2 linked regions of the Struthio camelus genome follow. The protein of the gene in region 1 interacts with the protein of each later gene in a biochemical or structural test. Links are inferred from orthologs where the notes say so. Each region holds a gene or a part of one and is shown in the gene's direction. Other genes may lie near its edges.

Region 1 (15,793 bases):
GTACTGTGGTTTTATTTTGTTCCCTTAATTTTGCTCTGATAAGGATTTCCATTCTGGATTTGTATTCAAATTTTATACATTTTCTTTCATGCATGAAGAAATAATTTAACATGGTACAGCATTACTTATCAAAAAAAAAAATCTAAATGTAAAATACTTCAACTTTTTTCTTTTTACAAAATCCCGATTGCCCAACAACACAAGCTGAATTACAATGGAAACTTGCCTTTCACTAATTCAGTAAAGTCCCTATGTTCTGAAGCATGAAACACAGTAACAATTTATCTATGCTAGATAGTGATACATTAACTCTACCACACTAATTAAAGAGAAAAAAAACCCTCATCTTGTAAACAATGATTTAAAAACTTATTACCTGCTATTATAGATAACTTCAGATATGAATATAACTTATTTAAAATTAAGTTTATGCAATACAACTGAAAGAGTAAAGAATGTTTTATTTGGTTCATTTATCAGGACGTTGTGGTCATTTTTATTGAGGGTGGACCCTTTAGTGTATATTAGAAATGCTCTTTAAATGGTTAAAACAGCAACAAGAAACAAACAGCAGCAAGATACAAAGAAAGAGAGAGACTGGTTGCACACTTCAGCAGGTTTGATAATCTTGTTGTTCTTAGACCTATCTTAAAAGCATTTTAAAACATCAGCAGTTTAAAACGTTTTTAGCATATGCTTAAATTATTTTACAGTTCAAGACATTTATATTTATTTTAGTCTTAATTGTCCATTAAAAAAAAAAAAATTTAGACTTCTCAACAAACTTTTCTGCCAGTGTGTAAGATGCAGAAGTTAGGTCACATGATGCACTAGCCACACAGTCATAGAAGGGCCATGGTTAACAGATGAAGGTAGGAAGCTACTGCTGGACTTTTAAGTGTAAATAACACCAAGTAATAATGTTACACACATCTTTATACAGCAGACTACAAATCAGACTGACCACTAAATCTAGCTTGTAGTCCTAATGCTGAAAAGCAGCGAAAGCACTGCATTGAATATGCATGTGAGGCAGCCTGGTTGCTGAACAGCAAGAGGCAGGAACTGAGCAAGCAATCCTACAGCTCAAAGTGACAGATCAGATGGGTCCACAAACTGACAGCACCTTTAACAACAAAATTTCAAGCTTAATCTTGAATAATTTTATCTTATAGTAAAGTCCAAAAAAAAATCTAATATTTTGCTGGTTAATGAAGCTGAATAGTTATTCTGCTAAACTTTTCAGTGACCTTTTAATATCAAACTGTACTGCTCTAGTATTTTAGAATGTAAAGCTTTACTAAAGAGTACTTCTTTGCAACAAAAGAAACCGTATTTGCCTGTTTGTTGCAACCTTGTATAGTAGTTGGCATTCTAGTTGAACAGGAAGCTCAACAAGTCACTGTCCTGGCACCACCTCTGAGGGAAGAGCAACACATTGTTCCAGGAGACACTCTCGTAATATTGTATAAAGACAGATCCACCCAAAGCTTGCTAGGTGCTGCTGCCATAAAAAAGGCAGTTTAGCAGATGGCTGGTACTGAGTTTTGGCCAAGGTGCCAAAATACTTCCCTGACAACTCTGACTAGAAAACAAAAAAAAGACAGTTTTGAGTGGCAAATATCATGTGTTGTTTACAGACGACATGAAACTCATGCATCAACACATCACAGATTATATGAAAATTACCAGTATGCCCAGTTAATATCATTTGTGGTATAAGACAAGGGCATTATCAGAATGAAAAGGACAACTATAGCCATTCTCTTTTGTTCTAAAGTGAAAGGTAGAAACTATACTTTATGTAGAAAAATTACTGAACATTATCACTGATTTGGAACAAATTATTTCTCGCTTCAAAGTACAGAGAAAGGTCAAGAGATTGACAGGGAAGAGGATATATAATTAGAGGAAGCTAACTGGCCTGTAAGTTGCAAATAGGACAATGAGAAGGGTGATAAATTTTCATCAGCAAACAAGAGGGTAGTGACACTTTCTCTTGGCTAGCATTTGAACTATTGATGTTTTGGACTCCAGGGGAAAAGAAAAAGAAGTCTTGAAATAAATGTTTTGCTTCTCTCCCTCTGACAACACACAGCCTAAGAATTATAGAAAAAGAGTTTACACAAAGGGTTTTTTTTTTTTTTGAGAAGGACAGTAGTTTTCAGATCTAAGATGTTTGTTTTTTGAGGGTGAAGAATCACATGTGTTCTTACAGCAATCAGCACAATGAAACTGAATGATGATGCGGCCTCTCAGCGTCACCACGAAATAAAAATTGACATATAAAAATATTTGTGTCCAACACTTCATAAAGACTTTTTTTGTGTTCAGTGAATCCTACCTGAAGAGTATGGATTGATACTGCTAGATTAATTAGCCATTTCACAAATATGCATTTAATCTAGGTCTGATGCTAAATTTTTAGACTTAAAAACAAACAAAAGAACCTGAAGAATATTTCAAATGCAGGAAAGATTTTGCAAAGGCTTAGAGGCATATTTGACTTCACACACAAGTTGTAGATAGTTTGCTAACCTTGGTGTGACACCTGCACAGTTTTGTGGCGAGAAAAAAAAAAAAAAACAGAAATATACAACACGTGAGCAACTAGAGAAAGAAGAGGCAAGATAGGTATTTTCAAACTCTTCAAAATAAGTAGAAGTCTTTTTTTGCATTTATACAGTACATATTAGGATGAGATTCCAGTAACTGAAGCCTCTGTTCACACGTAACATCAATAACTACAACGATAAGAGCATCCTTACACAGGATAAGTGATTTCTTAAATTTGTTTGTAGAGTGCAAAAATCCAAGACTAAGTCAGATAAAGACTACTAGATAATGTTTGCTAGTATCGCCATAAATTTCAGCTACAGTGTCTAAAAGTACTGGAAAGAAAAGTCTCTAATGGTTAGATAACAATATGTCAGTGTAGGTTTAATCAGATAAGTAAGAATAAATTATCTGTCACTATTGTAAGCTTTTCCCAGAATATGTCATTGTTTCTCTTTCTTTCTCAGTATGGAGAGGCAAGTTATAGATTATAACTAGAGCTGCTTAATGTCTCAGTCAGCAACTACGTTATTTAATAATCTTGGTTCTTGTAACATCCAAATCAAGTTGTGCAGGCAAGACATTTAGAAACTTCTTCCAAGGCTCACAACGGTTCAACATTTATTTTCAGCAGAATAAATAGGTAACCTTCAAAGTTTCTTTGAAAACAGAATGAAATAATCAGATCTTTTATTTGAGAGAGTCATATGTTACATCAAATATTGTATACTTGCATAAATATCATTTGGAGTTTATTTCCATTTTATAAACGGAAATCACCAAAGAGAAACTGAGCACTTGTTTTACATCACACCAATTTTCTCAAGTCCTGTAAAATACTATGTTCAGCTGACATTGCTGAAAATCATCTTTCTCAAAAATAATGAACCCTCTTACTGGCAAAATATTTTTGAATCCTGCCAGAAGTTGATCATTTAAAACTATAACGACTAAGAAAAAAAAAAGAAACACAAATCTCAGACTTTCATGCAGAAGAACAGAAAGCTGGTACAAAGGCCAAAGGTAAAAGGGAGAGCTAGAAATCAAATATAACCCAGCTCTAAAGAGCAAAACCAATAAACAAAACCAGTGCGAGACCAGAAACCAACAGATTATACTTCACCATCAAATATTATCCATGCTTAGTTCACCTAAGCATTTCAAAACACCACACTTGCACTACCCTTTTTATTTTGCATATCTTTCAAGTAACGTATCTCCAAACTTTCACATCAGTTTTTAAAGTCCTCACCATCAAAATTAAGCCAGCTAAGACCATTGCTCTTACAGAGCAGCGACCCGAATCTTGTTTTAACTGTTGCTACATTATCTCATCTAATGGCCAAGTCAATTTCTTCAATCAAGATTAACAAAATACCCTTCTATTTATGCCGATGTGTGATGCAATACCATGATGCCATCAGAATATACTCAGCCTATACTGGAAAAATCCCAGGGACACAAGCACACAACACAGCAGTCATGATCAGATCAAACATCACCTATCTTTACACTGGTTTGTGAAGGCAAATTTCACCATGCTACTTTCCCACTAGAAATTCTGCTACAGGCAATCCACTTCTGAAAATCCCAAAGCTAGTAGGTTAGGACTATTTGTTCCCTACTGGAATAGGGTCAGAAGCCTAGATGTGCTAGGACAGGGAGGTAAAATAACTCTGAGAACAGAATGAAAACCAAGAAAAAAATATTTTGATGGCCTGCTGCAGTTCTCAAGTGTAAATCTTTGCAGTGATTTCACAGAACTTTAAATCAGGCCTAAAGTTTTCAGTACAGGACAGTTCTTCTTCAAGACAGCACCTTTTCACTACAAAACAGAGAAGATACTCCTGTTAAGGATGACAAAAGCCATCCCTAAGAACTCGGGAACAAAAAGAATCCACCTCTAACTCAGAGCAGCGAGGAGATTCCTCTTGCTTTGGGCTAGGCTACAGACACCATAGTATGAAAACAATGTAACAGTTATCTTCAAAAACACAGCAAATAACAAATTCAAGCTGTTCAGTAATACAAATGGCAGAGAAACTACAAAAATATCTTATAGGAGGCTACTTCTCCAGAGAAAAGGATTTAAATAGGCCAGCAGTTGACAAAAAGAAAAAAATGCCTAATGTTTTGGCTAATGATTTTATAATATCTGTCTCAAAAAAAAGATATCCCTTTCTTTGGTTAAAATATTACAATGCAATAGTCAAGGGATACAGTATGTACATATTAAACTCAGTAATGTTAGTAGTAATGTAATATTCCACTCTGTGGACCTAAAGCTAGTTGTGAAAATGCAAGAAGGTTTACAGTCACAGCAATCTTGACTTTATGTAGGTTAAAAAGTATCAAAGTTATGATTAGTGTGACTGTAAACCTTTTTGTAGTATATATATTTAAGTAACATCAATAAAGTACTGTAAGTTTTTCCAAAAAAATGTAACAGGAATACAGTAACTAAGTAACTAAATGTACATTTTCAAAAAGGCCTTTTGCAATTGCAGATTTCAATTTTCCTTTGTTAGCTTTTTAAAAAAAGAAAAGCAAAACTAAGCAAACATAAACCCTGAGAAATGAAACCTTCAGAGTTCAGTTGGTACCTCCCACTCCCTACTCAGCTTCCCAGGGACCATCACACAGTGACAATCTGGTTAGGAGTCAGCTGCCAACGGGTACATAATTTGCATGCAAAAACATTTCTAGAAGACACACGTGAATAGCATATGTTCTCAGCCTGAGTATAATCTCTTAACTACATCCCTAAAATATTATTTCCCCAACTTTCATAATTATTTTCCAGGTAATGATTCCTGATATAGATATGTTACTCTTTGAAAATAAAATATATACTGAGTCTTAAACTACATTCATTTTAGAGTTCTCCTTGTATTTAAAAAAAAAAAGTCTCTATAGAGTAATTTTCCCCCTCATATGGTAGTCTTCCCCCTCATATCTGAGAAACCTACTCCTCTTCTCCCACAAAAGAGAGAGTTTCTTTTTTTTTTTTTTTTTTTGCCAGTTATGCTACATGTTCAATTCACATGCCAAAAGACTTCAGTCATGGAAAGTATCCATTCCAGATACATGTTCTAGAAGTGTAATAATGCATGAAAACAAATTAATACTTAAATTGTTTTAAAATCTTTACCATGGATGTAATTATGAAGTGTACAAATATTTGAAAACAGAACACAACAACAGACTTCAATTCAGACAGTTAAATCAGATATGTAGTACAATTGCCTGAATCAAAGCAGTTTCGAAAATCCTATCAGAACACCTTTTTGCTCTTCCTGTGTTAACTAAAGCTAATTTAAAAAAAAAAAAAACAAATAAAAATGCAAGTTAAATTAAGACCAGCCATAAGCCATGTGCACATATATGGTTAGCTAATTTCATTGAATTGACACAACATGTCAGAGACAATAACATTTAAATAAATAGCAACTCTCACTAGTTTCCAAAATTGTTACCAGTCCACATCTGGAAAGCTTAAACCAAATCCTGGTGACTCTCGAGTTTGATTACATAGAAGCTATTACTTTAGGATCATTTTGTTCAGGTTAAATGAAGTTCTACTGTTTTGTGAGTTAAAATACTTAGTTTCTTTTCTTTGCTAAAATGTAAACCCCTTTCCTCAGATCTCTATGAATATGCACACACATGAGACATTCTCTCTTTATATGGAAAGGCTCAGATCTGTAACCTTTCTTTGGCCCAAGAAAGGTCTTTCCTTTATTCAACCTGAATGTCAAGGGGAACAAACAAGAAACACCAGTAAATGACTCTGTGGCGCTACACAGCATTTAAAAAATACCTGGTAAATAAATCAATTTACCCCAGAAGTTGGGGAAAAAAGATAAAACAGAGAATGGTCAGCTTTAAAATCTTAACAGCTTCAGGGCATGAGGTCCAACTGATACGAGAACTGAAATCTATATTGGAGCTTTTCCAAAGCCAGCTCACACTAATAAGGAAAAAGTCTACTTTAGTCATGCAGGATCACATACAAACTCACACAGGCAAACAACTCTTACCACATCATCTGATAGGCAGTGTACACTTAAAACAAAAGCATATGTTTGATGGAAGTTCAAAACAAAACAATAGACTCTAGTCACCCCTGGGAAAAGCAAAAGTTTAAACTATAATTAACATAAGTTAAAAAATTATTACTGAAATTAAGATACAGAGCATACATTAATTTTCACACATTCAAGCCCTGTAATTTAAACATAAGAACATATTACTAGGACTAAAGAAACCTAGAATGCCATGAGGCAAATCATTATACAAGTACCACTATCCACTGAAACTACTTAACATTGTTCAATGTATTGCATTACTCTACCAGTTTTAACAGTCACCTTCATCAGTTGAAAAAGACTTGAAATACACATACTCTATTTAATGTGCTATGTATGTAGAAAGGCCAACCTCAACAGCTGTAGAGACACTCATTTCCCTGTCCTATTCAACATACCTCAAAGTGCTTTACGTTTCTGATGGGAGCACACAGAAAAAGTACCTGCTCCACAATAAAAGCACTAATGAATCAAACCCCAAGACCAAATAAAGAACCACCCCTCACAAAATTACCACTGAATTTCATTGCAATCTTTCACCAGCCAGGAAAACTTCTTCCTCCAACAGAGGAAAATATCCCAAAACATTAATTCTAATTTCAAAATATTGCCAAAGGAATCAAAGGAAGAGTAACTACAGCAAAAAAGGAAAACAAAAATGGATCTCAACAGAACCATTACATAGCAAATTATTTCACAATTCCAAACATACAAAGCTAAACACTTTTTAAAATCAAATGAAGAGGAAGGCACCAGCAAACCGGAGACAGATAAAATACAAGACATTTCTCATGCCATCGCTAGAACAATTTCCTGAGTCATCCCATTCTTCAGCCCCGGGAGCAGCCTGGCTAGGGCCGCGCTAACAGACTTCTCAGCGTTGCCGAAGCAGAGCGTTGACCTAAACGCGGCTGCTATCCAGCTCCTTGCAGTTCACGCTGGAGGAAGAGGGGCCGATATGGATTTCAGAACTTGCATCAAATGCTTAAGCTATTTCAGCTTGATACTGCCAGCGCAGAAACGCTCCTGGAAACTGACAGTCCTGAACGAAACCTCCAAAAACGACCGCGAGAAACATTCTAAGCTACCTAATCGGACAGGCTCTTTTTATTTTAAAAAAAAAAAAAAACACCCGTCGGCCAGCGCCGACGCCTCCAGCCGGGAGGGAGCTGGGACGGGCCGGGCTGCGGCGGCGAGGCCGGGCCCGCTGAGGCGGCGGGTGCCGGGCCTCCTGCGCCAGCGCCCGCGGGGAGGCACGGAAGGGGGGAGGCGGCGGGGGGAGGACGCAGGTAGGGCCGCGCCGCGCCCTCCTCCCGGGGCCAGCCCACACGGGGCGGGCGGCCCGGCCCGGCCCGGCCCGGCCCGCCGCTCCCCTCCCCTCGCTCCGCCCCGAGGAGGAAGGAAAAAAGGAGGAGGGAGGAGAGGAAATACCTCCGCCGCTCCTCGCCCCAGCGCCGGCCACCGCGCAGGCCCTCACCCGCCGGCTGGCGGCGGCTCCGCGGCCGTTGGCTGCCGGGAGCGGAGCGGGGCGGGGCCGGCATGGCGGCGGGGGCGCGCGCGCCGGAAGCTGCGCGGCGGCGGCGTGCGCCAGGCTCGGCGCTGCCGGCCGTTGGCCTCGCGGCGGCGTTTAACCGCCTCGCTCGCTCGCGCGCGGGCGCGTGGGGCTGCCGGGCAGTAACGGCCGCCGAGTAACGGGCGGCCAGTAACGGGCGCGGCGCGGGGAGGCCGCGCGTGCGGTTCGCGGGGCGCCGCCGAGGCCGCCGGAGCGCGACGCCGAGGGCCGGGAGCCGAGAGCGGCGGCGGCGCGGGGAGACGAGACAAGGCGCGGCGCGGAGCGGAGCTGCGGGGGCCGGCGCGGAGCCGCCAGCAGGTGAGCGGTGGCCTTGGGCGCTCCGCGCCCCCTCCGGGGCCGCGCCGCTGCTGCGGGAAGGAGCAGGGCCTGGGCGCCTGGCGCGCTCGTTTTGCTGGGAGCAGTGTTCAGGCCTTTGCCTCGTTACTCGGGGGTGCCTGTTCCCTAGGTTGCGTTAAAATGACTGTCTTATATTTCTGAATGCCGACTTAGTATTTCTTGTCAACGTCTGTGTTTCTGAGGTCCTGTTCTTTCTAGTCAGTTAGCGTTAGCTAACTTTAATAGCTAACATTTAACAACAGATGTACGTGGTGATGTACTAGCACGTGTTTATATTTCCCTTGCACGGTTTTCTGACGTTCAAATGATTAACTACATGTATTTTTTTCTTCTACAGTCTTTCCCTAGTGAATGGATCACTCTGGATGTGGGGAAAAAAAACTAAGGAGGCTGTTTTGCCATAGGTTTCTTTTGAAGCATTTGAGCACTACTTGGTGTTGAAGGAAGGGCAGCAACCAGAACAGTGTCAGCCAGTTAGCTGGAGCCGTGTCCATGTGCCCTTCACTTCCACTGCCTGAGTCTGTTTCTGAAATCGTGCATGTGTTAGCTGTAGGGATAACAAATACTAGTTTAAGCTATATTTTTTCCATACTAACTTACTTCTTGTAAAAGCGCTAAAAGGCATCATTGGCAAGATGCTTAGTGCCTGTACATTCCAGTACCTGCATCAAAGCATGTAGTGTACTAGGACATTTAAGATAAGCTTGACTATAGAAGAAGCTTTTAGAACAACTTAGTAATCATACTGCAAATTAGTTTATTTCACAACTTCGTGTATTTCAGCTTCGTTTGCCTTAGTCTGGGTTAGGCTCTTTGCAGGAAAGAATCTTGCATTTGCCGCCCACCACAGGAGGATGGAATTGTAGTTCTGCCTAGCATGTATGGCCTGTGACGTAGGTACAGTTACCAAATGACATCAGCAGTGTCTCTTTAATGTCACACTTACTGGAATACATTTTTTTGGCCAAAGCTGTAATTTTTTCATGCTCTGTGATTTGAATATTAATAGTTACAGCTGGAGATTATAAAAAAAAGACTGTTTTGCGTAAGGAATACACACATACCTAGTAACGTGGTCAATGTAAACGTGTGTGACTTTCTTTTCAAACTTTTTTCACCCTTCCTTTTCAATTTCCCTTTGAAGGAGAGAAGGCATAGGATTTGCAAGAAGTTTAGGCTTAGAAGAGATGTTCACTGTAATGTAATCACTGTTCTGTAACCTGCTTACTGGAGTTCCTAACTGACCTTATTTCACAAGATACTGAAACTGTTACTTGTGTCACAAGGTACACCTCACTGTTATCAAAAGCCTGCTTGCCATATAAATTCTCCACCTCTTCCCTGCTTTCTGTCTTCTGTGTCGTTATCTCTGCAGCTCATCAGACCTTTTCATAAACCAGCTTAACTCACTCAAGTCTTAAGTTTTCTGCTGTTTTATGAGTTCAGCTAGCTTATGGAAAGTCTGACAAAGATGTGAACTGTTGGGTTGGTGATGGAATGAGAAAGAGGAGAAGAGAGATGCGAGACCTTCCTATTACATAGCAGTGACCTATTGGATCATCAGTTACCTGAGGAACCTTAACTTTAGCCTAGTAATTATACCTAGTCAGTAGCATATTTTGCATTATACTTTGCAAGTGTCCAGCATAAGGGAAAGTAGAATAAATGTTTTAAAACATAGCACAGTAAGCTTGAAAGCATATTCCTATTTATTTTCTGATATGTAATGCTGATGTTACATGCTGCTGCAATGGGTCGCTTCAGTAGTTTGTAAAGCAGTCTTTTAGTTATCTGTTTTTCTTGGCAATTGTTCTTAGTTCTTATATGTTGTGCAAATACTACAAATAGTTTACTGTAATTTTACACATACTGAAATGTACCGATAGGTCGCCTAGTACCACTCGGTATATCTAGTACTGGCAGGCCTGTTTTATTAACTGGTTCTTTATATGTCTTTGAAATAAAAAGTTGATTAAGAATGTAATAAAGATTCAAAAAAGTATTTATTGTGATAATGTTGAAGCCCACACCATTTACAATACTCCTGTTGGGGGGTTATAGTTGAGGAGGCATTATACATCTCAAAACGCTATTTAAGCTTAAACAGAAGAGCAGAACTATCAGATAGGGAACATGGGCAGAAAAATACCTGCCTTTCTTTTGAGAGGAGTGACAGAGTAAGCACTTGCAGAGCAATAGATATCATTCTTTATAAAATCAAGAAATACTTAAAAAGAAATAACTTGTAGGTTGTTAGTGTTACTAACACATTTAAATACAGGCAGAGAATTTATGTTTTTACAGTGAGAAATAACTTAAATACATAGATCACGTGACTGTATTTACTCTGGAGAGATGAGGTCCAGGCCAAGGAAGTGCCTAAAAGTTCCCTGAACAAGTTAGAAAGATCTTATTAGCTAGAGCATGGAGAACAACGTCATTCTGTATTTTAAAGTGGTCAATATTTGCTAAACTAATGTTATATTAAAAAAAAATCAACATCTGAACTAGATTAAATATGGGATAACAGAGTTGATACGCTGTGATAGTATGGTTGACGCAATGTGAAGAATTGGAGAGCTTGGCTTTCCTTCATAGTCCAGTAGAATTACACACTTCAAGCTAATTCTTTCGTTTTTTACCTTCAGTGAGCCTAGGACCATGTTGTTTCTTGTACATCTTCCAACTATACTCTAAAAGCTAAATATGCTCTCTAAGGAGGCACATACCGGTTGATACTTTTGTTCTTACCTTCCATTATAACCATTAGTTTTAAAGTCCCGATATACTACCTGTTCATCCTGCAGCCTGCTTTTTCTGAAAAGGGCTGCTATACGTGTTAAAAGTATCAGCAGGATATGTCATCAACTTAAGTTGTCTTTGGGGATCGATATGGAATGATGAGTTATTACAGTTTGCTACTGCACTTTTTTATTGATACTCTGCCCATTTTTAACGTCTGTCCAGTTCTGTAGCGTCTCTTTTTGCTTAGTACTGTAAATGAGTTAGGTTGAACGGGTATTTGTGCAGGGCTCCCAAAAATGCCTTGGGAAACTGAGTTCTTGATTCAAAAGGAATTGTCTTCTAATCTGAGTTAGTGCTATAGCGTAGGAGTTGCGGAGCATTGTGCTGTGGGAGAGGTTCTCGTTCAGTGGAAGCGTTGGAAAAGAGACTATTGACTTAAGGAAAGATATTAACTTTGATGACTTTGCTGCTTGATGACTTTGATGACTTTGCAGCTTTATTATATTTCACCTACCTTGACTTCCCCTAAATCTTGAAGGAGTGCATATTTATTCTGGTTAGCTCCATTTGAAGTTAGCGAGTATAGATTTGGGTCCATAATGTTCTAAACTTCTGTGTTCTTCTGACTCATTCAAGATATAGTTAGCTTCAGAGCCAGTGAAGGGATGGAGTTATATGGGCTTAAGAACCTGTCTTCTGATGTGTATGTAGTCTGTACTGGAGACTTTCTACATAGATGTGTGTGCGCGTGTATATGCCTCTGTTACGTAAGTGCGCAACAATGTGTGTGAATCAGAAGGCAGAATTTGGCCCAGAATTTGACAAATCATATGAAATGGAATATGCAGTATCATTAGCAACATATGGAATAGATTTATGTTGCAGTAATACTGTGGAAGAGCTTTAGTTTGCTAAGAAGTCCATAGCATTGTTAAAATGACTAGATGAGAAGTTTCCATGTAGTGACACTAGCAGCAGGACGCCTTTCTGTAGTTAGAAATTGTTCCATTTGCAGGATAAGCTTTTTATAGTTAATGTACAAAATTCACTGTTCTGAAAGCTACAGCGGTTAGATCTTTAGTGTTCTTCACCAACTAAGGTGTAACTGCGGGATCTTACTGTAGCCGTTTTTAAAGAAAACATGTCAGAATCTTTCTGACTGAGGGTTAGATGTAGTAAGTTAAGGTGCACGGGCAAGACATCTCTGTTTCTGCAAAGTATAGTGCGCTTGGAAAATAAATGAGACCTTGTGGAGTGTAAAGAATGCATAGATTTGCAAATTCAAGGTCTGAAGCTGCTAAATCTGGCCAAAAGTGACTGAAAGTTCTGAGTTTGTAGTCTGCACCAGAAAATAAGCGCGTTCAGTCAAGAAAGTATGCATCTCAATTCACTCTTGCAGAAAATACAGATTGCATTACTGTTGGTATATTTTAATTCAAAATTTAATCAATTTTTTTCTTTAATTGTTGTATTCACTTCTTATTTTTCAGGGTTCTTTGAAAATTCCTTAGTGGTCTTGACATTGTTACAAGTGACATAAATTAGCCAGTGGCTCAGAATGATGGATGCCCAGAAGACTACAAATGGTTTGCAAGTGATTGGACAAGGGACTGGTATAGGGATATCGACACTCCACATGGTGGGGTATTTGGGAAAAGTCAGTTGAAACTTGTTTTACATGTGTGCAAAGTTCATATTTTTCTCTGCTTTGAGAGATTTTTAATTGGTCTTAATTTTCCAAAAAAAGTCTCAAAATTATTTTTCCACGGAAATCTATAACAATGGCGAAAGATTGTTCTAAGTACATCTGTGTCTATGATTTTTTTTTACTGGTGCTATTTTTAAAACTGTTAGCTTTCCTGTGAAAACTTGTTTGTCTTTGGAGATCTGAGTTTGTGTTCTCTGGCAATAAATATCCTTTGGTTTAGTGCAAACAAAATGAGATGTTATGTAATTGTGTTGTTACAGATACTTTATTAAATATTTGAATATTTATAGCAAAATATAGATTCATTTAGAACATTCTATTGTATGAATATATATTTTATAGCTATAATCAAAACCTAATCTAATTTACTTTTTTATACTGTATCAGATATATATTTATAAGTTATACTTTCCTTTTCTGCCTTGCTATGTATGTTTTGTTGTTGGGATAATATATAAAATGCGTAAGCTAACGCCGCTTGTTTTTTGGGTTGTTTTTAGAACTGTAGTCCTGTAGAAGTAACTACACATGAGCATTGCCCAGTCTGCAAAGAGAAGGGCCAGAGACAAGCTTTACGGACTTACCGCATTAATTTTCAAGAGTCCATTTTTCTTTGTGAAAATCCTCAGGTATTATTCTAATTAACAGTTTTCTTGGGCTGTGTAGAGGCCTTTGTCTTCAAAAGTTACACCTCTTTAAGTTCAAGAGTTCATTGGTGGTAAGCTGGCTTGGAGTAGGACTCCTTTGAGTTGACCTGCAAGACGGTATCTGGCTGTATTTAGACAAAAACACGGCTAACCTCTATACGCACAGTGTTTATGCATAGATAGCTAACCAAAAGAAAAGTTTGAAAAATAAAAAAGGGGAATTTGGCTTACATAACAAGGGAGAGTAAATCTGTATATGAATCGGATTACAAGCTAAAATTTGGTGATCCACGTAACCCGTATTGTATCAATGCAGACTTTGGTTTCCCATTCTTCTTTCTTTATTTTTTGTTTTTCCTTTCTCTCGTCCTTTCTCAGTAATACAAATAGGTTTGCAATTATAACTGCAGTGTTTTCAAAGTTTTTCCATTTTAACTTCAACCTTAGCTGGATTTCTGGGCTACTTAATAGTTAGTGATGACTTTTGCTTCTTCTCCATTTCCTTTCCTGCGCTCCACCACGTGTGTGGGGGCAGAGTATAGCAATCTCATGGCCTGGTACCTTTAAATTAACAGAGTGCGAATATAGATATGTGAGTGCACATACAGATACATGTCTGTAAGTTGCCCTCACGATCCCTTCTCCTCCCTCCCCCCCAGCCTTTACAATAATCATTGTACGGGTTTCGAGGAGGGGAATAGTGGAGTGGATTGTATTCTCCTGGTTACAGAACGTTCTTATGTATAAGACCCCTCCGACACCTGGTCTGAAGCATCAGGCTAGCCTGAAAGATAGCCTACCAGCTTTGGAGGTCTCAGACAAAAGATTTGTTAATGCCAAATCCATACCCTAAAGGAATGGCTATAGCAGAATGAGAGAAGAGGAGTTTCCTTAGCAAGATGAGGACATCTTTCAGGGATTGGAAGTGGGCAGTCAGGCTTTTACTGGAAAAGCAATGTTGGTTATCACTTTTGATACATTTTTTTCACCATTGCTTGTGAGACAGTGGTTGGATAAAATGTCCTTCTTGTCATATATGTGGAATTTATATATCCATTTCATGAAGTACCACTTAACAGAAGTTCTCCGTTCTACTTTACAGTATAGTTTGTATTTTTTAGCTACTGTTTACCTGAAATTGCTTTGTAGATTTCATTATAACTGTCTTTCTTTCCTTTAGTGTATCTACCCACTTGGATATAAACCATTAAACAGCATAATTATTTCTGCTGATTCAGAAAAACATCAAATTCCATATACTGATAAGAAAAGGAAATTGTGTGATATTAGTGACTCTTCTCCCATTGACTCATATCCAAAACAGGCAAGGACTAATAATGGGATAAATGTTGAGCAGACTATAAATGCAAATCCTGCTGTCAAATACTGTGAGAATGGTTTATATACTCCCAGGCCAAGCCTACCTGATGAATTACAGAATGACCAGCAAAGCACTAGCAGCAAAGCAGAGTCCCTCCTGCAGAAGGTGGATATTGAAGCAACCAGCAGCACCAGCAGTTATCAAGAAAGTGCTTCGAAGACTTCTTCAGCCGGAACACAGCTCTCACCGAATTCTGAACTTTGCTCAAAAGCATCTGACATTTTGCTCAAAGATGATAAAGTTTCCACTAATAACACAGATTTACGTCTTCAGTGGAGGAACACGTATGCTCTTTGTTGGTTAGATTGTATTTTGTCAGCTTTGGTACACTTAGAAACATTAAAGTGTGCTCTAACAGAAGAATACACTGAAGAAAAATGTTTACTCCAGAGACTCCTTACAAAATACGATCAAGCAACTGCACTTCTAAATACCTGTAAAAGTAGTAAGGTAAAAGGTGAGTAAGTTTAGCTACTGTTTCTTTATATTCAACGTGATGTATCTGCTACAAATATGTGGAATTCGGTACAGTGTACTGAAGTCTGCTTCCCTTTTATTTCAAGATCACTAAAGAATGAGTTACAACTCATTTCCATGAATTTCCAGAGCAGTATTCCTTGTCTAGCAGATTCTCAGTAACCACTGAAAATATTTCTCTCAGGGAAAATATGCACACTTCGAAAGCAGAGATCAAATATTAAGTATCTCTTGAAATTTTTTGTTACATACCAGGTAGGTAAGTTGTGAATTGATCATGTA
Region 2 (16,513 bases), about 140 Mb from region 1:
TATCCACACAGCAGATACAGGATGGCAAGCAGCTCACTACCCAGCATCTGCTTTTTCTCACATGCCACTGCCAGGACACATGGGCAAAGAGAAATTACTTCAGTTTGAGCTCTCTATTTAGACTGCCAGTAAATAAAGCAATGGGAACCAACAGTAATCAGGACTGCTTTCTAGGAAAAAAAAAAAAAGCCCCCAAACCAACATTTCCCCTGCACTGACAATGATTTCAGGAGTTTGTACGGGGACACTCCCATGATAAGCAGTTCTGACTATGTATCTGAGCCAGATTTAAACTGGTTTACAGCACGGCATACAAAACAAGTAACCTATACAGGGTGTCAGGAAGCATGTGACAGAGAGAAACACTAAGGAAGAAGAAGGAATTGCTCGCTGTGGTTCACATAGAAGAACAGAGATGAATCTAAGCCATAGGAATTTCAGGTTAAAGATCAGCAGCCAAACCCTATAGGCAAGGGCAGCTGTCAAGAGTCCAGTTCTCTCTGACCAGGTTCCTTTAGATATTCCACACATACGGAGAGCACAATTCTTAACACAAAAGTTTATTTTGAAGATATTTGATGTTACACTGGATTTTTGATTTAGCAGAGTGATTCAGCAATATACCGAAAATCACAGTTCAAGTGTACACTTATACAGTTCAATCACAATACCAATGTGATTGCCGTTACCGGTCTCTAGAACATGCTCACCATCACGAAGCTGGGCCTCCCCAATCGCCAGGAAGGAATACACGAGTTGAGGCCAGCTCAAGCCCGTTGCTCTCTTCAAAATTCCTTTGTTAGCTGTTGAGGTTTTATACTCTGTTGGGCTGAGCCACATATAGGCTTCCCCCATGCTGGTCTGGCTAGTCTCAGGGAGACATGTCCAATTAACGGCTATGGCTACTTATCTAAAACAAAGGTCACCCTCCGGCCCCCTTTGTGTTGAGATAAAGTCAGTTCTCTGCGCAACAGCAAGGCTTAACAAGCCACATCCTACACTGCTCCTGAACTTCATGGGGCACCTTGCCCTTTGAGCCTTCTCCCACTGCAGGGGTTACTGGTCAGTCACAGCAGCAGAGACCTTTGAACGCTCTCCAGCAAAGGGGACAAGGGCCCATACTGCAGTCTTTTAAATTGGGGTGGGCAGTGCCTGAAGAAGACTCAAAAGAGAGTAATCTTCCCCGATCACAAACACACACAGGCAAACAGGGACAGGGACACAAACAGGCAAAGTAACTTGTCTGGGTTCAGCCAGCTCCAGTCTGGGTCTCTTTAAGTGCAGATAAGCTAGGAATATGATGCACTCATTTTGGAGCAACAGCACCATTCTCAACTAAAATGGGTTTGAATCACACCGTTAGATACATGGGCTTCATCCCCTGCACTTTGGGATCAAGTCTTGGATCAGCTCCCTGTCCTCCCTGCAAGGTACACAGAGCTGCTGTACAAGGCAAGAATAAGGAAGGGGAGAAGGGATGGCACTTTTTGTAGCAAGAAGGACTTGCTGGTTACTGCAAATTTCCCAGCCTTGTCATCAATCAGCTGTGATCGCAAACGATGCTCAGCATTCGAGGAACGGTAACTTGGGGACAAAGACAGCAAGCACAGAAACACAGAGATGAGACGGAGCTGATGACACTGTGCACTCCCAGCCTGGGATCACCTCTGAAGGGATTACGAGAAAAAACAAAAGTCCCTTCTCAACCCGCACTACACAGCTTGGAGAGCACTACTGCCCAGCTCCCTTTTACATTAAGGCCGTCCTTACCACTCTAAGGTATCTTAAGATAGCTAAGGACCTTTAAGGGGTGTGGAGGAGGGTCAATCTTGAACTCTTAGAAAGCCCTTATTTATTGTACTCTGCACTATACACAACGTAGAAAAACTGATTCATGCCCTCTATGACGGAGAGCCAGAAGGAAAAGATGGAGGAAAAAAAAAAGAAAAGGCAGGAGTGAGATAAAGACCAGAAAGAAATCATAGCAGAGGTATGCAAGGATTTGAAAGTGACACTGTGCAGTTTGTAAGTCATCAGACAGTACATTTGAGAGCAATCTGGTCCAAACAGCAGGTGGAAAATTTTAAGCAGCTGCATTTGGAATGGGATGGGCAGGCACAGCAAGAAGGGGAAAGCCAGAACGCCAACAGACAAGGTGAGTGATGATCAAAGTCTCTATGAAGGCTTTCAGCAGAAGTGATGGAGAAGAGCAGGTAGACTTCAGTACAACACCAACAGAAGGCCTGGAATGATTTATAGATAACCTGGATAATGAGCAACCAGGAAGAGGGAAGGAAATCTAACAAGGAGACTGAGTTTAATATGATCACTAAAGCTACGGGCAGAAAGGCTTGGGGAGTAGAAAAAGAGAGAGCCACTTGATTTGCCAGTATTTCTCTTTGCATGAAATTCTGCAAAGCCAGAAGAAGAAAGATGGAACAGACAAGGTGGAGAAAAAGCAGTAGGAACCATCTGCACGCAGACAGTACTGACAGCCGTAAAAGAGGACAGAGCTACCCAGAGCAGTGCAGAAGAGAACTGTGAGGGACATGAGAGATGAGGTGGGGAAAGAGTCAACACAAGAAGTGACAAGAGACAAATTTGGAGGTGGTAGGAACTGAAGAGTCAAGAGGACACTCACAGCACCTCATGAGGGAAAGCACAGGGAAGAAGGAGAACTTTCAAGCTGTCTGGGCCCTGAGGCCACTAAAAAGCCGTAAATGTCCTGACCAGCCTCAGCTGGGACCCCCAGCATTCACTCACTGCCCATGGCTCAGGGGCTCCATTTAAGCTAAATACCAGGCACACAGCCCTTGTCTGAGCTACACTGCAGGTTCACCTGTCTTCAGTCCTGTCTCCTGGATAGACCTTGGATCTACACTGTGGGTAAGTTGTCTCTGGTCCTGTCTCTAGCACCATCTCCTACTGCTAGGCTCCCTGGGTAGACTTTGGATGAGACTCATCATTTCACCTTGTCTGGGACTGTTGATGGATCCTCTTACCAGCACCTTGCTCTGCCCACCCTGTTCAGATACAGCAGGACTGCAACCCAGTTGGATGAGGGCACACTTACTGCGTGTGCTGTTACCACCTATAGCTCCTGGCTCACGCTTCCTTGAGAAGCAGCCCAGCTCTTGCAGCTCCCTGACACAAGCCATACTGGAGAGAACAAAAGGCACAGAAGTGAAGCAGTGGCTCACCAAGATTACAGGTGACTGTGGGGAGAGCAATTCAACACTGGCTGGTCATCACAAAGCCAGCAGCTACACTCCAAAAATGCTGTGGCACACCTTTGCAATTTTCTTTATCCACAAAGAAGGGACATCACTGTGGAAAGCATCCAATAGGCACAACTTCTGCTACTGACCTCAGTTCTCTTCTTAAAATACTACTTCAAGCAGGGAGGCAGAGAAGATCAGTACCTATTTTCATGGCTACCCTGGCCCCACTGATAAAACATCCCACACAGCAGGATGTGGGCACGTGTCACAACAAGAACTGGTTACTGCTGCTTGCCTACAGAGGACAGCATTCAAATGCTATCGACCAAAGGCTGGAGTGAAGCCAAAGGCCTACAGGGAAAGACTCCAAAATTTATCCTTCCTACAGTTATCTAACTCTTCTTGCATCCTGGAGCTCCTCTTCAGCTCATTCTCTCCTCAGCAGCATTGCCAAATTGGCCTACTGAATTCCACTGAATCCAACGTGCCTACGTACAGCCTTACTTCACTTTGGCTGACCAACATACTGCACCTCAGTAAGTCCCATAAGACCCATCTACAGCTCAGTCACACCTTCACGTTTATGTCACGGCTTTATACATAAGACTCATCTTCTCACTACAACACCCTCAAAATGTGTACCATGCTCTGCAACCTTAACTTCCTGTGTCTCTTGGTGGGAACAACCACCTTTTCCATTCTATCTGACTTCACACCACCACACATAACAGGTTGCTCCTCCACCTTCTGCCTTCCTCACTCCTGACTGTTTCGACTGCTCTTATCCCTTTTGCACCTCACGCTTGGGCCACCCCCTAGCAGACTCACGCACTTCTGACTCCCTTTTTCATTCCAGCCTCCTCACGGTGTCTCATTCTACCCTTGGATCAAGCTGCAAACTTATTACACCAGGAACCAAACACACAACTAACAACCAGTACATGCAACACTTCTGTTGTGCGCAGTACCACAACTGATGTGTAATCAAGTTTAAGCAAAAAGCCTGTTTAACTTTTGTTTTCTCAATGTTACAATTATTTTTAGAAATAGTGGAAAACACTTCAGGAAATAATATGCCTTTTCTCCCCAAATCTGTCTGTCCAGACTTGTCTGCTCAAATCACCAGCAGAATTTGAATCCAGAACACTTATATCCCCCCACCGCAAAGCTCTGTCGCTTGAGTGACAAATTACAATTATCCTTCTCTGGTGCAGCATCTAGAGAGGACTTTATTCACAGTTTGTCAATGAGTTACAAACTATTTGCCAGGCAGAAACAAAACACCGCAGATCAGCAAAACTGCTTCCTTGCCTTCGGAAGGAAGCGCAAGCTAGTAAGCAGGCTAACTAAATCACAGACTTGATAGGTTCACTCTAAGAGACAACATAAGACAAACGGAAAGACCTGAATCTACCTATTATTACCTAATCTCCTATTATGGAGCTGGTTGTTATTCTCAGCCCTGCCAGAGTTGAATTTGTGCAAAGTTTTTTTATAACGTATTTGTGGGATGGCAATGAGTTCACACACGACTGATTTCCAGGCTTTGGTTGTAATGTTTCAGTAGGAAACAAGTGCACTGAGATGTAAGTGGCAGGCTGCGGAGCCGAGACAGGGACTCGGCCCCAGGCTCTGCACGCTCTCTTCCAGGCAAAAGGCTCCCACATCCGCTAATCTGCAAATACGGAGTCTTTAATGGGCAGCAACTCGCCCGCCTTGGCAGTGCGGCAGAACAGGTAACCGGATTCACGTCAAGCAGAAGACAAGCCGCGCGGCCCATTACGAGCCCAACGAGTGCGCCCGCTCGCTCTCCACCGTTCCCCACGCATGGGGTCTGAACGCTTCTCGTATCCGACAACTCTGAGGGTCCCAAAGCCAGGCTCCGCCACCACCTCTACCTCATCCTTAGATGTGCCAGGTCCCCTGAGAGCGGCCGCTCTCCCACCCCCGGCACCTCGCTAGCTCCCCGCCGCGCCGCTCCCGACGCCCCTGCCATATGGGCAACGGGGTGGCACCACGTCCAACTGAGACAGGCCAACTCTGCCATGAACACCCTTGCCTCCCGCCAGCCCCCAGCCCCGCAAGCAGAACGTAAAAGCGGCAGTGCCGTGCCCCCTGGCGAGGGCGTGCGAGGCCTCGGGCGAGCCCCCCAGCCCACACCACCACCTCGGCGGAGCTGCCCCTGGGCGCTTCAGGCCGCCCTCCCGCCCCAGCCCGGGGCCGGGTGGGGGGGAAGGTGCTGCTTTCTCTCCCTCAACCGCTTCCTCCTCATTTCCTGTCCACCCAGCCCTGCCTCGCTTTTATAATTAAAGCCCCGGGTCGGTTCGCAGACGCGGGAAGTAGCGCTTCCCTCTTCTTCCCCCCCGCCACCCCGCGCCGTAGGCCGCCGATCCCCGGCCTCGCCTGGCGGCCGCCGCGGGCGCCAGCGCCGCCTCGCCCGGCCGCGGCCGAGAGGGGCCGGCGGCGCCCCCGGGGCCTGCTGCGGGGCAGGAGCAGCGCGGGGGGCTCTCCGGCGGCAAGACACAGCCAGGCTTTCCCCGGAAAAAAAAAAAAAAAAGCAAAATAACCCCCAAAACACTCTCCCTTCTCCTTCCCCCACCACCCCCCACCCCCAGCCGCCGCCAACCTATTTAAATAAAACCCACATATTTCCGGGAGCCTGGGAGGCTACTTTAAGAAAAAAAAGAAAAAACATATATAATATACATATATATATATTAAAAACCTCCCCTTCTACCCGGAAACGGTATAAAAGCATCAAAGAATTAAAAAAAAAACCAGCAACAACAACAACTTATTTGATAAACTTTACAAGCCCCCGAGGAAGATGCATCTGGGAAGCTATGGCACAAGGGCTGCTTCATGGGGTTTATAGCAAATAAGAGGGGGGACACGGCAGGCTAAACGCAGATCGTGAACAGAGCTTTGAAATCTTACAACCAGCAGCCGGCACAAACACCATTAATACTAAGTTTTTAATGCAAACCCAAGGGCTTTTTAGCAAGCTGTTCACTTTTAGACTACTACCACATTTTTCTCCGGGGGGTGGGATTAGGATCTCTGACAATTATTTTTTTGCAAACCCCACAATTTTGGCGGAAGAGTGGGGGCAGCTTCAAAATCCCGTCAATTTTTTTTTCTCCACTTTTTTTTTTTTTTTACATTTGGAATTACAAAACGTTTCCTCTATGTAGTTGCTATTTGAAATGTTTACTTTTAAATGAAGCAACATCAAGATGTTCTTGTTTTTTCAAAGCCCACCCTTTATACATACATAAATACGTTTATATTTTATAGACATATTTATATATATATATATATATATATATTTATATATGGTTTAAGAAAAAATAACCCCCCAAAACAATAATAAGACTTACCTCTCCTTGGGTTTTCCCCCTCACACTATGTATAACTTTTCTTGATAAATGGTATTATATTACTAGAAATATTATTAAAGTATTATTACTATAAGTAATAATAATAGTAAGTGTTATTTAATTATAGAAGGAAGCATTCTGCTTCTGGATCGGCTGCCCCTGCAGCTCCCTCCATGTGCCTCCTGATCTCTTTACTTTCATTTCCAGGTCTCCCTCCCTCCCTCCCTCCCTCCCTCCCTCTCTCTCTCTCAGCTGCACCAGCAAGAGAAAATGCCTCCCTGCATATCCTCTGGGCCCTAGAGGCTACCGGTTTCCATTACAAAAATTCATACAATCTTTCCCTTGTGGTTGTTTTTGAAATTCTTTTTACGTGAATTAGCTTTAACAAAAAAAAAAAAATTAACACGCTTAACTGTTTGAAGCTCATTCTTATTTTAATAAGGCAATTTCCTCGTTGCCGGATGTCTGGCTTTGTGGATATAAAACACACCCCAAAAGAAAGCAAAAGATCCCAAGCTGCCTTTGCACAGTAATTTATGCATGTGAGGAGCAGCAATGAACTGAATGGAATGATGCGACCCTCATGGGATTATCCCATGCATGAAGTGGCCCTTCTGCCCATACATATATGTTTGCTGGCGGGGGGGCAGAGCAATTGCAAACAGAGCTTATTTAATCCACCCCACACTGCTGAGGGGTTTTCCTGGACACAATATATTCTAAAAACGTAAACTTTTTTGTGGAAGACGTACACAGTGTATAGATCTATTACATATTATTATATTATGTAATTATGTATATTGTATGTAATATCATCACATATGTTATATACATATACAATGCATATATTTATAGACTTACAACAGTTTTTAATACACATATGTATTTAGGTGCTTTTTTGAAATCTGATTTTTGGTTTCTCATCCCAAATCCTTCAACAGTCTCAGGAAATGGCCTGATTCTCCACAACGCTCCATGCAGGCAGAACCCCAGGAACGGCTTTATCATCATTTGTTCTTGGGTCATGGCAGATGATTGCGAACACAGAGATACACAAACCCCCTTAGACAGGGGTTTCATCCATCCCTGTCCAGCTGCAACATCATTAACTTCAAATAAGCCTCTGGAATGAGTTTCATGCTCAGCTCCTCATCCACCCTCCCCGGTAGGCTAGGTTTTCCTCTCCCTAAGGATTTTGTCTACTGTCAGATTGTAATTTCCAGACTGATGCTGGTTTAAATTATCACCTCTTTACAAATGTAATCAGTGACATGTTTACCTCTCAGTGTCTCACTTGGCCATTTACAGTGACCCAAAACAGCATCACTTTGTGCTTTGCAGATAAGTAACTCAGCCAATGTTCGAACGCAGGTAGAAAGTATCGTCTGAAATGTATTAAACCTGCTTAATGTTTAAAGCATTCCGGTCAGAACAGGATAGACTTTGTTATACTGAGTAGGTTTGGCTTCTGGCAGCTCTTTTGACACAATAAACCGAAAATTTATGATATATAGGCTGTAAATTATATAATGTACCATATGACATTGGAGAACACTTTCTTACACTGTTCACAGTATTTAATCACAATGTACTTTTTTTTAGATATTCATTATGTTCTCTGATACGATCCAAAGATGACTGTTATTTTTAGATAGGACAATATTTATTTTTTGTTAACTATTCAGCAATTTGTTACCTTGGATTCTTAGGCAATGACAAGTCCAGCCAAGTTGGGCCTCCACTGCAGAAGGTGCTGTGCAAAATGTACATTAAATGACAATTCCTGTTGAGGGGAGGCTTTAGGCAGAAGGAAGGTTGAGCAGGCCTGGTGGAAACAGATAAACATGGGGAGATCTGACATGTCAGATCACATAGGAAGGGGAGCGTCATGGAGCCAATAAGCTTCAGATGAGTCACGGCGCCTAAGATGCCTCCAACCCTGCTGTGAGAGTTGAACGTCTGAAAGGCAAGACGTAGCAGTTGCATGAGAAGAACAAGAGGGCTTAGGACGAACTGAGGAAAAAGAGGAACGAAAACAAAATCTATACATAATAAGGAATTCCGCTGGAATTAGTACGGTTCTTTTATTCAAGAACATTCATTTTTTAAGATTGAATTTCCTCACTGAGCATCGCATTACAGCCTCTTCCACCCCACTTTTTCCTCGCTTATAATACCGAGGGCTGTCTCATAAAGTCATGATCCAGTATGTATTGCCCCACTCATGAATAACATCTTTCCTTACTGGTTAATGTCCAAATTCTCATAACTGGCAAATGAGGTTATCTACGTCTAGTATGCACATAGTCAGCAGAGTCAAAAGGTGGCAAATTCCTACTCTGAACTGAGTTACAGTTGCATAAAAGTGAGTTTGATTTGTGAAGCTATTCCTTTGAGGAGAAGGAATCTGCTACAATGGCATAATATACCTTTAGTCCAGTATAGCTGCATCCACAGTTGAAGTCTTTGCTCTTGCCCCTTTGGCCCCATGTAGCTAGACAATATTTGGGAGAAAAATAGAGAATGGAATGAGATAGATTTGATATGATCCTGTTTATTGCTAAAGATCAGGAGGAATAATAGGAGCAATTTCCTCGCTCATAGTTTCTGAGTTCAGGCTCCCTCTCAAGATCACGCTAATTTATCTCCTCATCTGCTCTACGTTTTCTGATAGCTTTATGCTCCTTACGCACAAGCAGAATCTAGTCAGTGCCTCAGCTTCTTCATTTTCTTCAGTTGCAAGAGAAATTCCTCTTACTACTTATGAGTTAGCTTTAGCTCAAGCTTTCTATCTAGCTGCTGTACCAGTTGGTGGCTTTTATATTTTCGGCTGTCATGCTCCATAAAGAAACTTATTTATCCTTTTCTCCTAGAATGAAGAAGGACTAGCGTGTCTTCAGCCTCAGCGTGGCCTCCCGTGTCAGTCAGCATTGCCAATTAGTTCAAGTTTTGTCTTGGGTCTGGATAAACAGCATTTGATATTGTTTCTTAAAACCTCAGTCACAGAATAATGAAGGAACAAAAAAAAAAAAGACTGTCATGTTTTGGGACCAAATGGCTGAATATATCCAGCCCACTGGAGATATTATATCTATATATATAGATATATCTATAGCTATATATCTATCTATCTATATCTCCAGCACCCCGGCCCCGGGCCTAGGCCGCCACCCAGGGCGGCGCTGCGCGCTAGGCATGCCGGGAACTACCGCCCCGCTCCGCAGAACTACATCGCCCGGCGTGCCCCGCGCCTGGCCGGACAGTGTGGCACCCGTAGCTCCGCCGCGCACGGCGCGGCCGGCCGGCGGCTTGCGGCACGCTGACGCTCACCGCCTCGCGCGGGGCGGCGAGGGACGGGGGTTTGTGACGTCACGCCGGGCAGCCAATCCGAGAGGGGAGAACAAAACTGCCGGCTTTCAAATCCTCCGCCTCCTCCCTCCCTTCCCCCCCCCCACCCCCGGTCTGTCGGCAGCGGCGGCGGCGGGAGAGCTGGGGTGACGCCACTCGGTCGCCTCCACCGGCAGCGAGCGGCGGCGGCGGCCGCGGCGACGCCAGCCCCCCTCGCGGCGCGGAGGTGAGGCGGGGCGGCGGCGGCGGTTGGCGCCCGTTGGGAGCGGCGGGCGGGAGCGGGGGCGCGCGAGGCTCTGCTCGCGCCGGCCGCTTCCCCCCGCCACCGCCCCCGGCTCCTCGCGGCGGGGGGAGGGGCGGCCTCGCGACGCTCCCACGTGCCCTTCTTCTTCCTTCCCCCTCCCCCCCCCCCCGCTGCCACCGCCGCCCCGGTGACGCCGCTGTGCGTGGCCTGCGGGTGCGGGTCACGCGTGCCCGGCCCCAGCCCTCGCGGCGTCGCGAGGCGGCCGGGTCGGCTCTGTGAAGCCGGGGGAGTCTCGGGGAGCAGGTGGGAGGCGTGGCGGCGGCGCGGCCGGTGCGCCGCACCTTCCTGAGGGGTACAGAGGAGCCATTAGCCGTCATTAAGGGAAAGGCGCACTGGGAGCCTGTCGGGGACTTGCCGGAGGGGAGCCTTGGGCTGTCACCGAGCTCCCCGGGGAGCGGGGTGTGGGGCTCTGGATTGCCCGGGGTGCACAGCAGGGCTCCCCCTTGGGTAGTGCGCTTGATAGTCGGTGTCTTGTCCATTAGCGTGGATAAACCATTATAAATAAAGTATTGAGCTAAAGTAACTTTTTTTTGACCATCAGGAAGTGTACAGCATTATGCAGTGGTTAAGTAATAAGGAAACGTCTCTTCAGGCATTTCTAGACCTTGTTTTTGTTTGCCAAGAATACTTCTACTAACTTTTCTGTTGATTTTATTTATTTATTTATTTTTTTAAAGCTTTCCTTGCAGAAGACCTGGCAGTGAAGAGACCTCTGGTAGGTTAACAGTTGGGTGTGGCTGATGTGTTTGCAGTAAAACATGCTTCAGGATGTGATGGAGAAATGGGATGTTGAAATCAGGAAGTAGTCCATGTATAAGATGAAGAAAGAAAAAAGGGATTTAGGGAGAAGAGAAGCAGAGGGAGGGAGGGAGTATGCTTGTAGATTATAAAAGAACATTACAGCAGAACACAGAACTCATTTTTAAACAGCTGGGTGATGAGATACTCGAAAGTAAAGTTGAGAATCCACTTAGGTGAGCGAACTGACCTCTCTGGATCCTATTTAACTTTTGTTCCTGTGTGGTAGAGCCTTTGTGAGTTGGAGAACACCCTCTCTGTTTGTTTCTTCTCTTTGCTATTGGATTGGAAGAAGTTTAGGCATGTTTATCAGCATGGTGCCTGAGTGACTTGATAGATGTTGCCAGCAGAAAGATGCTCAAATAATTACTCCTCTCCTATCTGAGAGGTCAGTCATCCTGAAATGGTAATGTTGATGAACCTTGAAACCCCCTCCCCCTGCAAGTCCAAAAGCAGCAGTACTAAAGTTCATAAACCTTAAGAGAAAGGCACTACCTGAGCAGAGCTGGAGGCAGGTCCTTTTACAGCCAGGTAGCAGGAGGAAAGGATGTATGTACAACTTTCATTTAGGGGGTGTCTAAAATCCTCCCCATTGGAGGGGCTTAAAGAGCAGCAAGCTTTTGTGCTCACCTTGAAGTTAGACAAGAGTGGAAGGGGTCCGGTTTTGTGCAGTTGTAGGGATTAACTTGCATCCTCGTTAACACCTGAAATCTCTTTTAAAGGTCTTTTTCTTCTAAGCACTAGCTGCTTGCAGCCCCTTATTTCAGCAGAGGTGGAAAGAAACCATGAAACCACCAAAGAAAAATGCTCTGTTTATCCTGCTGAATGAACAGGGATCATTCACTTCAGAGTGATGATAGTCATCAGATAATGATTTACAGATGCTACTAGCCATGGCTAGCACCAATTTGTGCATAGAAGTGAAGTGTTCCCTGATCCATCATCAGGGTTATATCAGGGTCATATATATATATCTGTTTAATGTGTTTGAGTACGACTCTGTGGGGCAGCCAAAAAGAAAGCAAGCCCACAAATCTAAGCGAGACTTTTGTAGCTAATACACATGATGTTTTTCAGCAGCTCAGCGATTCTAGAACTGTGCTGACATGAGCACTACTAGGGATATAAATGAAAGGGGAAAACAGTTGTGTTCGTTCTAGTTTGGCGTGGAGAAGAGGGGAAATGTGCAGGGTGCGTGTAATTAAAGGATTAGATTTGGGTAGAAAAGAATGTCACATCTTAACTGTGAAAGTGTTGTATGCAAAACAGTGTCTTAACGTGGTCTCGTTATACTTCATAAGCAACCAATAGCTAAAACCACTTACCAACTTCATCAGAACAAAACATGAGCCTCTTCAGGACTGGAAAAATCAACCAAATCCAACTTTGAAATGTTAATCTGGCCAAGCTGTCATGAGTGAGCTATGAGGGAAAACACTAATGACAGTGAAAACTCGATTAGATATCTCAGGAACAAAAAACCACTAGTGTTTAAATATAAGACAGTTATTAATATAGATTATGTATCATCGTTTGCTTTTCTAATGTTGACAGTTTCTTTTTAATTAACAGCTTGTAAAGTTTGGGAAAGCGGAAAAGATGGCATCAGAAGACATCACTAAGCTTGCGGAGTCACTTGCCAAAACCAAAGTGGGTGGAGCACAGTTGAGCTTTAAAGGCCAGAGCCTTAAACTCAATACAGCAGAAGATGGTAAGAGAAAATATCCTTGTGTTGGGGAAGTGTCTCCCTGTAATTCTAATGTCTTGCAGTAAACCTCCATCCCATCTTGCATGGCCAAGTTTTCATATTCGCTGGGGTGCAAGGGTTATTTTGTTACAGCTGCTTCTGATAGAGATATTTTCTTCCCTTCTCCCATGCTGCTTTGACCTGGTACTCCGGCAGTGCTGCTTGCTGAGGAACTTGGGGTTTGGCTGTGTGGTGTATAGTTCTTGTTTTCTTGACATTCCTGCCAAGTGCTTTTGACAACCACTGTGTTAAATGTCGGTTCTCCTTTTAAAAACACTAGGCAACATCATAGTGCTTGGAGCAACTGTATACTTCGAAGACCTATGTAGAAGAATGGGTTGATATATTAGTCTGCTGCTATAGTCCCTTTTTTCCCCAAACTCTGATTCAGTTTTAGACTCATGGTTTTTCTGGAGCCTGTCTCTTAATGTTGTGTGTCTTTCCCAAGGAACAATGTCTTGCAGTGGCTGCTAGTGTTGTAAAACCCTGGAATATATCTATATGTATATGCAGGTCGACATTCCTACCACCTCAAGAAACAGCGTGTTCTTGAGACTATTCTTTGGTATAGTGTGTACTTATGTGTTTTTTTCCCTTTATTTTAAGAAAAAGGATTGCTCTTGAGTTAAATTGCTTCCCCCGGCACTGTAATGGCTGAACAGGCGTCTACTTTTGTCAGTCATGGGGAACTTCTTGTTGTTGTTGGGACGTCTGTCCCCATCACCTTTTAGCCTGGTCCTTGCACCTTTGTAGATGTATGCACCTCCAACTCCTAGGCTGTGTGCTGGATAACAAACAAATCAAACTTACTTTCTTAAATACGAAGATGGCTATCTGATCGTAGAACTAGAAATAAATTATGAAAAGGGAGGTTGGGGAACAGAGAACACATTCTCTCTAGTGACCTGACACTTCAGCTCTGTTCTCCGTTACTGTTTCAGGATTCTTTCAGATAATGTTGCTCAGCGGTTTTGGCTGAGGGTAGAGCTGAGCAAGTGCATCAGTGTGTTACTGAGGTACCTAAGATGTTAGTTAAAAGGCCAACAAGACTGTCTGCTCTTTGCAGCTGAAGAAGTGATCAAACAAATTGAGGAATTTGATGGCCTGGAAGCATTACGCCTAGAAGGCAACACAGTAGGTGTGGAGGCAGCAAAGGTCATTGCCAAAGCCTTGGAAAAGAAATCGGAGCTCAAGGTGAGATCCTCAAGTGGGTGGTGGTGAAAGGGGAGAAGTACTGTAGAAATACTGAAGGCCTATCTACACTCTTCCCACAGCAGCATGCCTCGAGTTGGCCTCAAAACTCACTTTGTTCTTCCAGTAGGAGGAACAACCATATGAAAATGTGGCAGAACTTGGGGACTTTGGGATAGTGGGAACATGTCGTGTATTCGGAACTGATCCTGTTCAGAAGGCTTCCGATCTTAAAGCTGATAAGCTGTCCAAGGAAGACCTCAGCAGAGGCAGCATGTGCAAACAGAGAACTGTGTAACAAAAGACCAAGAGAGCTTAAGTTATAATGGAAAAGCTGGCTTGGATCTTCTTGCTCCTTAGAAGGACTCTTCAAAGAATGCCTGAATATTTAAGAAATAATGGAGGAAATGCACAAGGATTTTTTTCTGTGCCCTAACTATGCTTCCTACTACTGTTCTAGCCTAATGTTAGAAGGGTGCTGTGGTGCTAGAGACACTGTCCTTTGCAGGAAAGGAGTATGAGATGTTGATTCACGTTAATCGCCAAAGCGTGGCTTTTTGAGTAAGTCTGGATTGTTGTGGATTTTCTTAAGGTACGAAGCCCATTTCTAATGTATCCTTTAGTTCCTGCCAGTTTTTCCTCTGGGAATTTTCTTAGCAGAAGAGAATTACAAGTTGAACGCAAGCAAGAATTCTTGTATAGTGTTATTTACAGTATTCACTTCAATGGTTTTATTTCCTTGCAAGTAAAGTAATTATGTTAGTTCTCGTAGCTCTTCAGTGTAATCAAATGACAAGCCCAAGGGAATGCAGGCAGTGCTAAGTTGTCCCCAGGGCTGCAATGCAGCTTATGGGTAAACTTCTGTACAACTGTGCTCTAAATATTTTAATGGCTTCTCTTCTATCTGTATGTGTTTCTTCTTTTAGAGGTGTCATTGGAGCGATATGTTCACAGGGAGGCTAAGATCTGAGATCCCTCCTGCTTTGGTAAGTAAAAACTAGATCGGAGACTTTGACTAATATAACTTCTTTTCTCATCTGTCGTGCTTTCTGTGGGAGTATGTTTCTAAGGCTTTGTTAGCACAGAGATGATCTTTCTCTGTGCGGCTAACAGTAAATGCCTTGGGATAGGTGAGTGACTTTGTGCTCCTTCTGTACAAGATGGTGAAGAGTTGATAAAAGGCCAAACGTGGGTCCAAACTAGTGAAGAAGCTTATCCTGGAGAAAACCAACATCTTTGTGCTCTGATAGGTAGTGTGGGAACTAAGCTTTCTAAATAAAAGCATATATCCCTCTCTTCCAAGAGTGTTACAGAAACCTACCACCACTGAGTTCTGCGGAGCAAGAACATGATAAACTCAACAGAAGGAAGAAATGTTCCTTCAAGTGGTGCAGAGGGGTAATTCACTTTGGAAAAAAAATGTATATTTGACCTAAAAGGATGGGAAAGCTGCTTGATAACTGTCTTGCAGTTATCTTTAGTAATTTGCTCACCTCATGCTCTGACTTTAACCACAAAGCTTTATTTCACTGTGCAGCTTTGCAGAACGCCTTCAAAGCAGAAATTTCTTTGCTGCATCACTAGCCACTGCAGTGATGCTGTCACTAAAAGTCAATCTATTCTCTCCCCACCCCACCTGCCATCTGTTTTCTCACAGATCTCTTTGGGAGATGCACTCATCGCTGCTGGAGCCCAGCTGGTGGAGCTGGACCTGAGTGACAATGCCTTTGGGCCAGATGGCGTGCGTGGCTTTGAGGCGCTGCTGAAGAGCCCAGCGTGTTACACCTTGCAGGAACTCAAGCTCAATAACTGTGGCATGGGCATTGGAGGTGGCAAGGTAAGGGCTGTCTCCGTATTGGGAACGAGGTTAGAGCTAGGATTTGCCTCCAGGCTTCCCTACACAGAATTACTGTGGTTGGAAAGCAGTTCTATAGACGATCTAGCCCAGCCCCCCTGCTCAGAGCAGAGTCAACTAGACCAGGTTACTCAGGGCCATGTCCGGTCAGTTTTGAATATCTCGAAGTATGGAGACTTACAACCTCTTTGGGCAACCTGTTCTGGTTTTTAACCACCCTCACAGTGGGGGAAAAAAAGGTTTTTGTTGTTAATATATTGAAATGTATTAAATTCTATGCATATTTCATGTATTTTTATGTACCTATTCCTTGTCCTTTCACTGGGCACCGCTGAAAAAGAGTCTAGCTCTGACATCTTTAGTTCCCCTCCCATTTCGCCATCATCTGTTTATACACGTTGATAAGATCACCCCTCAGCCAGGCTGAACAATCCCAGCTCTTTCAGCCTCTCCCTGTATGTAAAATTCTCCAATTCCTTTGTGCCCTTTGCTGGACTCACTCCAGTATGTCCACATCTGGGGAGCACAGAACTGGATCCAGCACTCGAGATGTGGCCTCACCAGTCCTGAACAGAGTGGAAGGATCACCTCCCTTGACCTGCTGTTGACGTTCTTCCTGATGCTATCCAGGAAGCTTTCTTTGCAGCAGGGTCACACTGCTGGCTCGTG

What was found.
Region 2: of the proteins of USPL1 (region 1) and RANGAP1, one has a biochemical effect on the other in vitro, tested with the Homo sapiens proteins (2 studies listed by BioGRID). The link is inferred for Struthio camelus from reciprocal best matches to the Homo sapiens genes USPL1 and RANGAP1.

What each region holds. Positions count from the first base shown.
Region 1 is NC_090942.1:199,398,602-199,414,394, reverse strand, and holds the start of USPL1 (SUMO-specific isopeptidase USPL1), read left to right. Parts: upstream 1-8,282; 5' UTR 8,283-8,514; intron 8,515-12,788; 5' UTR 12,789-12,856; coding exon 12,857-12,955; intron 12,956-13,506; coding exon 13,507-13,635; intron 13,636-14,833; coding exon 14,834-15,491; intron 15,492-15,793. UniProt on the Homo sapiens protein: SUMO-specific isopeptidase involved in protein desumoylation. Specifically binds SUMO proteins with a higher affinity for SUMO2 and SUMO3 which it cleaves more efficiently. Also able to process full-length SUMO proteins to their mature forms.
Region 2 is NC_090942.1:56,872,451-56,888,963, forward strand, and holds the start of RANGAP1 (ran GTPase-activating protein 1), read left to right. Parts: upstream 1-9,848; 5' UTR 9,849-10,175; intron 10,176-10,219; exon of another isoform or gene 10,220-10,496; intron 10,497-10,930; 5' UTR 10,931-10,968; intron 10,969-12,623; 5' UTR 12,624-12,650; coding exon 12,651-12,762; intron 12,763-13,864; coding exon 13,865-13,992; intron 13,993-14,915; coding exon 14,916-14,975; intron 14,976-15,646; coding exon 15,647-15,826; intron 15,827-16,513. Other genes in the region: ZC3H7B (zinc finger CCCH domain-containing protein 7B), read right to left, coding at 711-803, 2,972-3,158. UniProt on the Homo sapiens protein: GTPase activator for RAN. Converts cytoplasmic GTP-bound RAN to GDP-bound RAN, which is essential for RAN-mediated nuclear import and export. Mediates dissociation of cargo from nuclear export complexes containing XPO1, RAN and RANBP2 after nuclear export.